Arabidopsis thaliana: one gene and its partner. The protein of the gene in region 2 interacts with the protein of the main gene of each other region in a pairwise test. Each region holds a gene or a part of one and is shown on either strand. Other genes may lie near its edges.

Region 1 (6,247 bases), on a different chromosome or scaffold from region 2:
TGGCGCGTACTTGCAGCACAACTTCTCCAGCTCTTCCTCTTCCATATCAGGCTCTTCTAATTCCATTTGACAACCGAACCAAACTTACCAACGCTTGGGCAGTGTTAAAAAACCGGAAAGTCCCGGACCCATTACCTTGTGGAGATAACTGTGGAGTCAGCATAAACTGGCACCTAGCTACAGACTATCGAGGCGGATGGACTGCTCGAGTCACACTCTTCAACTGGGGTGATACTGATTTCGTGGATTGGTTTACCGCGGTTGAACTGAGAAATGCTGCACCCGGTTTTCAGAAAGCGTACTCGTTTAACGGAAGTATCATCGCGGTCAACGGGAAGAACACAACTGTTTTAATGGAAGGGCTCCCTGGACTGAACTATCTCCTTGCAGAGAAAGACGGAAAAAACCCGAGTGAAGACTTTCGGATACCCGGGAAACAGCAGTCGGTTATCTCCTTCACCAAGAAACTGACTCCTGGAATCAAAGTTGGTTCCAAAGATGGGTTTCCCACCAAAGTACTCTTCAACGGCCAGGAATGTTCACTCCCTTCTGTACTACCCACGAGCAACAGTCACAGGAAACATGTATCCACCTTTCTTCTCATCCTGACACCATTTTTGGCTCTACTGTTTCTTCGGATTTAAAAGTTCCAGTGAAGGACTTTCCTCATTAGCCAGAAAATATACAGTTTTCTTGATTCTTTCTAACCAGATTTGATGCAGAATTACTTCTACTACTAGTGGTGCTTTGTGCACCGTGTGATTCTTGAATTTCGTATGATCAGATTTTAGTAATCAGTATGTATACATACAAATATTGAACAGACAAATCCCTTTGTGTTTTGATCTTGAATTGCTTTGATTTCACGTTGTGGCGTTGTACTAAATTAAGTTTGTTCGAATTATTCTAAGCATTTACTCGAAATACATACTTACAAAACCCTAAACAGCCTCACTACATAAATGAGGAACAAAAGAATCTCCAAGGATATTAACCCCTAACATGAATAATTATTTCTTATATAATCTGCCATTTAAAATTTCATGCAGACTACATATATATCAAACAAGTTTTAGTAGATCGTCGTGTAAAAATGATACAGTACAGATCCGGGTAGTCCCTCCGGTTTATCGGTTTTTTTATCCAATCAAACCGGAATGTTATCGATGGAGTATGCGTCAAAGTCGAATTCGCCATCAACCGGTGCAATCCCTTCCTGTATATCAATAATTCAAGATTGTGTTTTTCAACTTTTTTGGTTCACTGATTTTTTTTGTTATTTAGTTGTAATTTGCATTATTATGAAAAAGACATGCGACCAATGGTGAGAAAGCGTCTGAGAGTTGTTATATATTTGATTTTGAACGCAAACATGTACGTTGACGGATCAGATTATGCTTCTATATAAGTTTGACAAAAAAAAAAAAATCAAATCAAACCTGCTTAAGAAGTGCGCTCATAAGATCTTCTTGATTACTATACTGCTCGTGAAACGCCATTGTTGCTGTATCCGTAGCCACTCTCTCTGATTTCACCCTCACTGAACCACCGTTTCCGTCTGCATAAACCTGATGGTGCTGTACCATTCCCGATGGTGGCTGCTGGTGGTTTCGGCCATGCTCGGTGGCTGCAACTGTCGTGTTGTGTCTTGACATGGACGAAGAAGAGTAGGCTTCTGAAGCGGAAAACGCAGCGGATTCTGAGTCCTGATGTGAGTCAAAGGCTATTCCAATATTCCTCAGATCCCAATCATTCTGTCTGGTGGTGAACATGTCGTAGCTCGGCGTAGTGAAACCCGCTTCGGAGCTGTTAACCTCTTCCTGGTAAGAAGTGGCTTTCCGAACCGGTACTGATATCCCTGGTGCACTTGCCAGCGGGAAACTGTTCACGGGAAGTTCTGGTTGGAAGTTGTTATAAGGCATCGAGCTTGATGAGTGTTGTGTTGTGAGATTAGTGTAACTTGTCGGTAACACTCTGCTGCTCTCGGGGATATTGTTCCTTCCAGAGAAACCACTTCTCTCGGAAATGCGGTTTGATAACATCGGCTGCCTGATGGATGATTGCGAAGAGGTTAGCATAGGCGGTGGTCCCCGAGGCAAAGACTGCTGACCCGCTAGAGGCATCAGCATTCCGTTGTTTTGAACACTATTTCCAGCTCGAACAGCAGCAATCTGTTGTTGAATACTCATTCGATTACCCATAGGAAGCTGCTGTTGTAAACCCGTGGGGACACCGTGAAGTAAGTTCATCTGTGGTTGCTGTTGGGGTTGTTGCCCGTGATGCCCAAGCCCTTCTCCAAATCTTGTTTTCGTGTTGTCAAAGCTGAAGATGCTTCTCTCATCCACAATGGAGGAAACCGGCAAACCTGACTTAGAGACCATCGCAGGCCGGCCTAAACCAGCGGCTTGAAGCTGTGCAAGACTCTGTGCAGGTAACTGACCTGTGACGGCTAGTGCTTGAAGATCAAACCCATTCAATGTCGAAAGAGGTCCGAAGCTCGCATCCTGACCCGTCATAAACGAGTTGTTAAGATTGCCTTGGTGCTGCGATACCCCTCCAAGCCGTCTTAGATATATCCGGTATTTCTGCAAGTCCACATAAAGCCGCTAAGAACATCTAAGCATTTCAATGGCTCATTTTGGTATCCAGTATAAGATTTATACCTGGAGGTGACTTGCTACGTTTTCTCGGGTTAGACCAGGAACATTCATCAGCTCTAAGATCTTTTTAGGAACCGCCTCTGCGCCATAGAAGATCATTTAGACCCTGAGCATAACAATCACAAATGCAAATGTAAGAAGTTTTAGTCTTACTCTCAACGCCGAGCTGATTAACAGCAGCAACAAACTGCTGATGCAATTCAACAGACCAGACGACACGCGGTTTCTTCAAATTCGACGCATCTTCGTCCTTATCATCTCCTTGCTCTTCTCCTTCCTCGTCTTTCCTCTTCCGTGAACTGCTCCTCCAATTGTTACCTTCGTTAACCGAGGATGAGTTATCATCCACCGCATCCTCTCCACCAGAAACAGCTGCACCACCACCACCTCCTCTATGTTGCTGCTGCTGTCTCTCGCCAGTCTCCTCAATGCTCCCAGAATGTTCCGGTACACTCCATTCACTTCTCCTCTTCCTAACTACATGCTGCCATATGTTCTTAAGTGCCTCCATACGTACAGGCTTGATAAGGTAATCAACCGCACCGTGCGTTACTCCCTTTAGAACCACACTCTTTGAATCATCCGCAGACATCACTAGTTAAACGAATACAAGATCAATAATCTATAAAAAAAGATTCAAACTTAGATGAGATTTGAGGGAGTAAAAAGAACGTTACTGATAACAGGTAAGTCCATCTCTAGACCAACATGCTCAAGAAGCTTGAAACCGTCCATGTCAGGCATATGAACATCACTGATTACTATATCGAATCCATGTTTGTTCTTCCGGAGCAGAGACAATGCCATCTCTGCTCTGTTGCATTTCGTTACTGCATGTCATAACAACCAAAATGTTTCATATCTTCAAAGATAAAAGAAAAAAACAGAGATTTGAATTCTGACAACAAGGACCTCATGAATTGACATTTAACCAAAACTCAAGTCAAAGATCAAAGACTCAAGATTTGAATCCATTTGAAACCTCCCCTAACTTATTATATACAATGGATCTACATGTGAATCTATCAGTAGATCAAAATGGTGTGATCTAAATGAAGAAGCTCGAGATTAATATGTGAATCTTAAAAAGTAACCAAAATGGTTTCTATTAAAGGGGGAGCAAAGTTAGTCAACCACCGATATGAAAACCATAATTATTCCTCAAAATAACATAATTTTCGAGAATGGACCACAAATAAACCCATCATTGGAGCAAGAGACCATGAACTCTCTTTCTCTCTCTCTCTCTCTCTCTCTCGTGAGATTAAACGAACAAAAAAAAAAAAAAAAAAATGAAAAGAGAAGATCTTGGTTTTTGGATACGAACCTTCGTAAAGACAAGTCCTAAGCATCCTCTCTAAGATCATGAGACAAGTTGGGTCATCGTCAACGACAAGAACTCGAAGACCAGAAGGAAACATCTCGACGACGGTCTCACCACCACCTCCTTGATTTCTACCGGAGCTGGACCCACCAGCCGATCCGAGTCCTCTTCCGTGACTCGGATTCATCATACCTCTCTCTATGTAGCTCGAACCCAAGAAACAAAAAAAGAAAAGCAGAAAAGAATATATACCCAGAAAGAAAGAGGGGAAATTGACGCGAGTTTTATTCGATTTAAAATTGAATATTATGAGAGAATACGAAATTGTTGGAGATAGAAGTGAATCTCTTCTGGGTAACCAAAAAAAAGAAGAAGAGAGAGATGGTGAGATGAGACTTAGGGAGTTGAAGAAGACAAGGCTTGTCTCACCTTAGAGCTCTTTTTCTCTGTTTTTTTATTTATTCACAGAGTAAAGCTCTCTTAATTTTTCCTATTCAATTTTTGTAACATTTAGATGCAGAAGAAAAAAAAAATGTGGTTTTTATATACTCAGTCATATATATTTTTTATTTACATATATGTAGAAGCTGACATGTCCTTTATTTTCATCATTCTCTCTACATTTAGACTATTGGTTTTATTAAATTTCATTTAGATCCACTCTCTTTTTTATTCTCAATTTCTTACAAGTTAGTTTTGTATATTATATGTACTATTGTTCTATATTCTGTTTTATTTTTCTATTTAGAAGAACATTTTGGATGTTGCTTTGAGCTCAAATTCTGGGTTATTTTGTGAAGTAGTGAAATATAGGGGTTGAATCATCAATGAAAGAAATATAGGGTAAGGAAATTTATATAATTGGGAAGAAAGTGGGACCAAAGACCCTTGATTCGTGGATCCAGCTCATGCATGAAAAAATTAATTAACTCGTCATATGTAAAGTTTGCAAACTCAAACCTTAATAGATTTTCATTAGTATTATTGTTGTTAGTTTCCTAATTTTTTGTTTTAATTTCCATTTTCTACCAATTTCGAATAGGAATTTGCCTTAAACAAAAGAGCAGCTGCATATATATATAAAAAATTCTTAGTTTTGATATGCCTATAATTTATTTACTAAACTACCCTTTGAATTTATGTAATTGAGAAACAATGCCTCCTGTCTATTGGACCTACATGTATTAAATTAAACGGCAAAATAAAAATATAATCATATCATTAAATTAAACAAAATAATACGTCTACGCACATTCAAGCATATGATTAAGGTACCAAAATACACCTAAGCATTTCCCATCATCACCTACATCTTTAGCTAAGATATAGTACATATACTTTTATCAACAAAAAAAAACCAGATATATGATGTATACATAACATAAGATTACTCGATGCCTTTTTTGGTGCAAATTAAACATATAACCTTCCAAATTTTTTAGTATGTATTTATTTCAAGTCGTGTGTAACTATGATTAGTAAGAATATAACTTATATAGTATACTTTTCATGTTTTAATCAAAAACAACTTGTAGTTCTAGGAAATAAATTGTATTAAATGGAAAATAGAAAAAAATTGTACGTTTGATTGTTGAAAACATATATATATATATATATATATATATATATGTATGTATAATTACAAGTTTACAACAACAGTAGTCAGTATATGGTGCAAAAAAAAACATGTGCGCTTCTTCTCTTAAAACGTTGGATACTAAATAAACAAAGAAATAATGCAAATGGTTCATCTGAATGATTAGTAACATCATATGCTACCCACCAATCGCCCTATTCCCCCGAAAGTATATTTTTAATAATGTATAGGATAACAAATCATATTTGACTATTCGATTGCTCTACGACATATTTATAAACACATACAAACCAGTAACTTATTTATAAATGTGTAAATTTGTCAACTTCAATGTAAACTATATCTAAGTTATCCAAGTTCAGTGTATACTTTGCTTAAATAGTTGTTTAGCACCGCCGACATGTCTTATCTTTTTCAAATTAACGATAGTTTTAAGTGTGACATACGACTTGTTTCATATGTGCATCGATACCTAATTTCTTACATTAATCAATGTTATCAAGTAAAATTCACTACTTGTAGTATTTAGAAGGAAAACTCAACAATACGAATATTAAATCAATTAAGTATTTCTTTAATTTTTATGAACTATCAACTATAGTGTATTTTCTTTTGGAAATACTGTACATGTGTATATTTCGAAGAATAAAATGAAAACATTTAATG
Region 2 (4,252 bases):
CTCTGTTATGCTCGACTCGTATTTGTACTTGACCTTTCTGACGTATTGCTATAATCTGATGACAGGTACATTCCATCTCTCGTAGCCACATTCACTTTTCCTCAGAGCGTGGGGATTTTGGGTGGCAAACCAGGTGCCTCAACTTACATAGTTGGTGTTCAAGAAGACAAAGGTTTCTACCTTGATCCGCATGAAGTTCAACAGGTTTCATTTCGTGCCTCTGAATTTTTTTAGAGTCCATAAATCTTGGTCTGGCATTGTGGTGGTCCATAGTACCTAAGTCGGATAAGATGCCATTTCACATGATAAGTCGGATACTGATTGAGACTTATCGTTTGATGATTGATTTAGGTGGTCACAGTCAACAAGGAAACACCAGATGTTGACACATCCTCCTATCATTGCAAGTGAGTCTCCTCAAATTATCATGTCACAGACGACTTTTGCCTGGTTCAGTTTTATCTTGTTTCTTAATTTTATCTTGAATCTGCATCAGTGTCCTTCGTTATGTTCCTTTGGAATCACTCGACCCATCTCTAGCTCTAGGATTCTATTGCCGCGACAAAGGTATTGTATTACTACATTCTCTGAAACCAAAAGTTTTTAAATTCTGTAACTTGAAAAAACCTTTCCCTAATCTTCAACAGATGATTTCGACGATTTCTGTCTCCGAGCATTGAAACTAGCTGAGGAATCAAACGGTGCTCCATTGTTCACAGTGACTCAAACCCACACAGCGATAAACCAAAGCAACTACGGGTTTGCGGATGACGACAGCGAGGATGAACGTGAAGATGACTGGCAAATGCTCTGATCATGATCATCGTCAAACATTTTAACAATCTCAAGCTACAATTCTTTTTTTCCTTTTGTTAACCAGTTCTTTGTTTTTTATATGTGTTGGTGTATATTACATCAGATCAGAACACAATGTTGTACTATAAAATCTTTTGGGATTTTCAAACATAGATTGAAGCATGCGAAAATGGAAGAGTAGAGAAATCACAAGGTATATGAACATGATGACTCCATTTTCCCATTTTCTTCTCAGTCGTCATCTTCATCATCACTCCTCCTTCACCTTCACCTTCACTCTCTCTTTTACCGCCAATCATTACCACCGATTCACCTCCTAAGCTTCCGGCGAAAACTGAGCTTCCTGTCATCGGAAGCTGTATAGATTGAAGATCCAGTTTCAAATTTCTCGAATCATCGTTAGTTTCCCATCGACGTTCACTCTGTAAATCAGTGTCTGTGAAACACCATAACGTAGAGGAGCTTCTAAAGTCTCCGGCGGTGCGACCTCTCGGGCTAGTATCTGGAAATCGCCAGACGTTGTCGATTCTCGACCATGAATCTGTCGCTGGATCGTAAATTTCTCCGTCAGATCGGAATCTTCCTTGAGATTCCGTTCCGTAACCGCTCAGCACGCAAAACCTTAGACCCATACCAACGGCGAATCCTTGACATTCGTCTCTTCCTTCCGTCATCGGAGTAACCGACGACCACTCGTCTTTCTCGACGTCGTACACCTCCGCCGAGCGTAAAGCGTTTTTCTGATCGTCGTGACCTCCGGCGACGTATACCTTCGTTGGACTTACGGAGGCGCAGGCGAAGAATGATCGTGATTCCTTCATTGGCGCACCTCGTCTCCACTTCCTTCCGGCGAATTCCAGAACGTAAACGTCTCTCGTCGGCTGTAACGTCTCCGGATCCCAACCGCCGATGAGCAGAATCTTCCCGGCGTCCTGAAGCACGACGCACTCGCAGAAAAGCGGGATCTGCTCCTCCTCTGGAAACGCAACGCGATGCCACGTGGACATCGCAGCGTTGTAAACGCTCAATCCAAAACGCGGCGTGCAGAAAACGCGCGGGTGTGACTCATCCTCTGATTTTTTCTCGTCAACCATTAATGTCTCGTCAACCGATTTAGACGCTGGAATTGGCGGCGTTAGCGGTTGAACGAGGCAGAGGAGAAGCTCTGTTTTGCCGCATCTCCGCCGTTCTTGGATAAAAGAAGAGTCGGAGAGTAAGCTACGCCAAGAACGGCAAACGGATCTCATGGCGGATTGGAATTGGAACGGAACTCTGACCAAACACTCCAAAGCTAGTTCGGAAGGTAAACCGGGAATCAATTCGTGACATTGCTGAAAATCTCCACCTTTCTTTTTCGACACTTCCATAGTCATCGAACTTAAACAAGTTTGAGAAAAACAGAACAGAGAGTGTGTTTGATTGAGCAAAGTGTCTATGTGTAGAAGAAAACACACAAAAACTGACGAAAGTTGCGATTTAAATTTGAGTGAGTGTGAAGCTACAAAGAGGTGGCAGAGCCTTTAAATAGGGAAAGAGGAGGATGAGTTTGCTTGCGGTTGAAATAACGCGACGGTTCGTTTAAATTTTTAAAAACCCCTATAAACTTGATTTAGCAGCGTATGAAAAAAATCAAGATTCGTGTATGTTGCAAAACGCAAACGTATCTAAAAATTTATTTCTTAATCATTCCCTTTCAATCTCACCAAACAGGCAAGAGTCAACACATGGGTTACTTTGATGCGATTTCCTTAATAAGGAATAAAACTTTGAAATGGAATCTATAACAACTGGTTTAGTTCATGAAGACGGTGCTTTTGTTAAAACAATCTTTTCATAAAACAGGAAAAGTAGAAAGCTTCTAGAAGACTTTCATAAGGACAAAATGAACAACTAACAGTGGAGTAAATCATATACTCCATAAGAATTTGATTATTTGAATATCAACCAAAAATTCAAGAAATGTCCATGTTGTTTCATGATGTAAATTGTAAAGGCAAATAGTTGAAGTTAGGTCAGTGGTTACTTGGTTAAGTGAAGTTAGGTAACAATATTGTATATTATAATCACAAATTAAATTGACAGTATACTGCGCCGCACTTTTTGTTTAACGCTTTTACCACTGTATAGCGTCTATAGTTTAAAAACAGTTTGAACTAATAACTTTTTAAACTAGTTTATCAACTAGATATCTAGATTACTATTCCATTTCAGTGTCAATTGAAACCGAATCTATGACATCTTGATAATAAAGTTCACGAAGACCAGTAGTGAGCTTTTTAGTCTTTACCATCACTTTTTATTTGAAATAACAAAAAGCTTCTAGAAGCTATGCAAAGACAAATAATATGGAGTAATAAGGAATGAGTCGTATTCACTGACGCAACCGTCAACCGATAAGTAAACATCTCGTGAACTGTTTCTCCCTAATTTACTACAATTTAAAACAGGTATATTAATATGTATGATGGACATTTTCATTTCATATTGGCATGTGCACGCACTATCAAACAAATTCTTTCACGAATAGTCCATATGTATAGATTCTTTATGTTTTGCCAAAAAATTTGTGCTTAGTTGTTATAAGTTGTAAGATATCATCATGTGTTTTTAATTTTGTAATACGTATTATTTTACGTAGAAAATTGCGAGGGCAGTTTCGTTTGAATATAAGATTCATCAATAATATTATGATTGATTATAACTTTATAAAGGTTTCTACTTTATTATAGTCTTCTAGAAGAAGTTCTCATGGATATACATTGGCATTAACTATCCTTGGGTCTTACTCTTCGATTATTCAACATATTATATTAAAACGTTGACACGTCTATTCTGCGATGCACCGACGTAAAGGTATGTCTCGCGGACTTCCAGCCTCACACAAGTCATCTCGTCTCCACCGGATAATTAATGATGCTTTCTGTTGTTTTACTTTGGGGTTATTTATGAATCTACGCTTACTATTTGTGCCGTTATTTAAAACATGTTTCAAGGGAAGAAGATTAATTTGGGTGTTAGCGCACGATATGAACATAGATAGACAAGAAGAAAAATGAAAGTCGGGGATAAGAAGGAAAATAATAAGAATGGGGTCGAACATTAATAGGGGGCTGGTCCATTACACTCTATCCCATTTTCCCCACATTGTCTGTTCTTGTTTCGTCAATTGTCCTTTCTTTGATTACTCTCTACTTATGTATTTTCTCTCTATCAGCTTTTCTAGCTTTATTCATCACCAATTATTGTCGTGTGTCAAGAAAAAGTAACGTAGAGTTTCTTTGAATAGTAGTAGTAGTTTCGCATATAAACGAGTACTTTCGATTCATTTTCATTCCTAAATGGTAATATTGGCTATCAATAGGTCGCGTTAGTCAAAGAAACAATGGATACATCTTTTGAAACTTTTTGCTCGACAAGAAAAAAGCAACTATAATGT

What was found.
Region 1: the proteins of AT2G44130 (region 2) and RR1 interact in a protein complementation assay, tested with the Arabidopsis thaliana proteins (one study listed by BioGRID).

Annotation. Positions count from the first base shown.
Region 1 is NC_003074.8:5,754,040-5,760,286, reverse strand, and holds RR1 (response regulator 1), read right to left. Parts: upstream 4,467-6,247; 5' UTR 4,175-4,466; coding exon 3,988-4,174; intron 3,932-3,987; exon of another isoform or gene 3,573-3,931; intron 3,491-3,572; coding exon 3,338-3,490; intron 3,255-3,337; coding exon 2,814-3,254; intron 2,741-2,813; coding exon 2,664-2,740; intron 2,586-2,663; coding exon 1,440-2,585; coding exon of another isoform or gene 1,434-1,439; exon of another isoform or gene 1,217-1,433; coding exon 1,148-1,216; 3' UTR 844-1,147; downstream 1-843. Other genes in the region: COBL8 (COBRA-like protein 8 precursor), read left to right, coding at 1-644.
Region 2 is NC_003071.7:18,251,668-18,255,919, reverse strand, and holds AT2G44130 (Galactose oxidase/kelch repeat superfamily protein), read right to left. Parts: upstream 2,311-4,252; 5' UTR 2,190-2,310; coding exon 960-2,189; 3' UTR 866-959; downstream 1-865. Other genes in the region: AT2G44140 (Peptidase family C54 protein), read left to right, coding at 66-204, 352-407, 497-567, 648-814.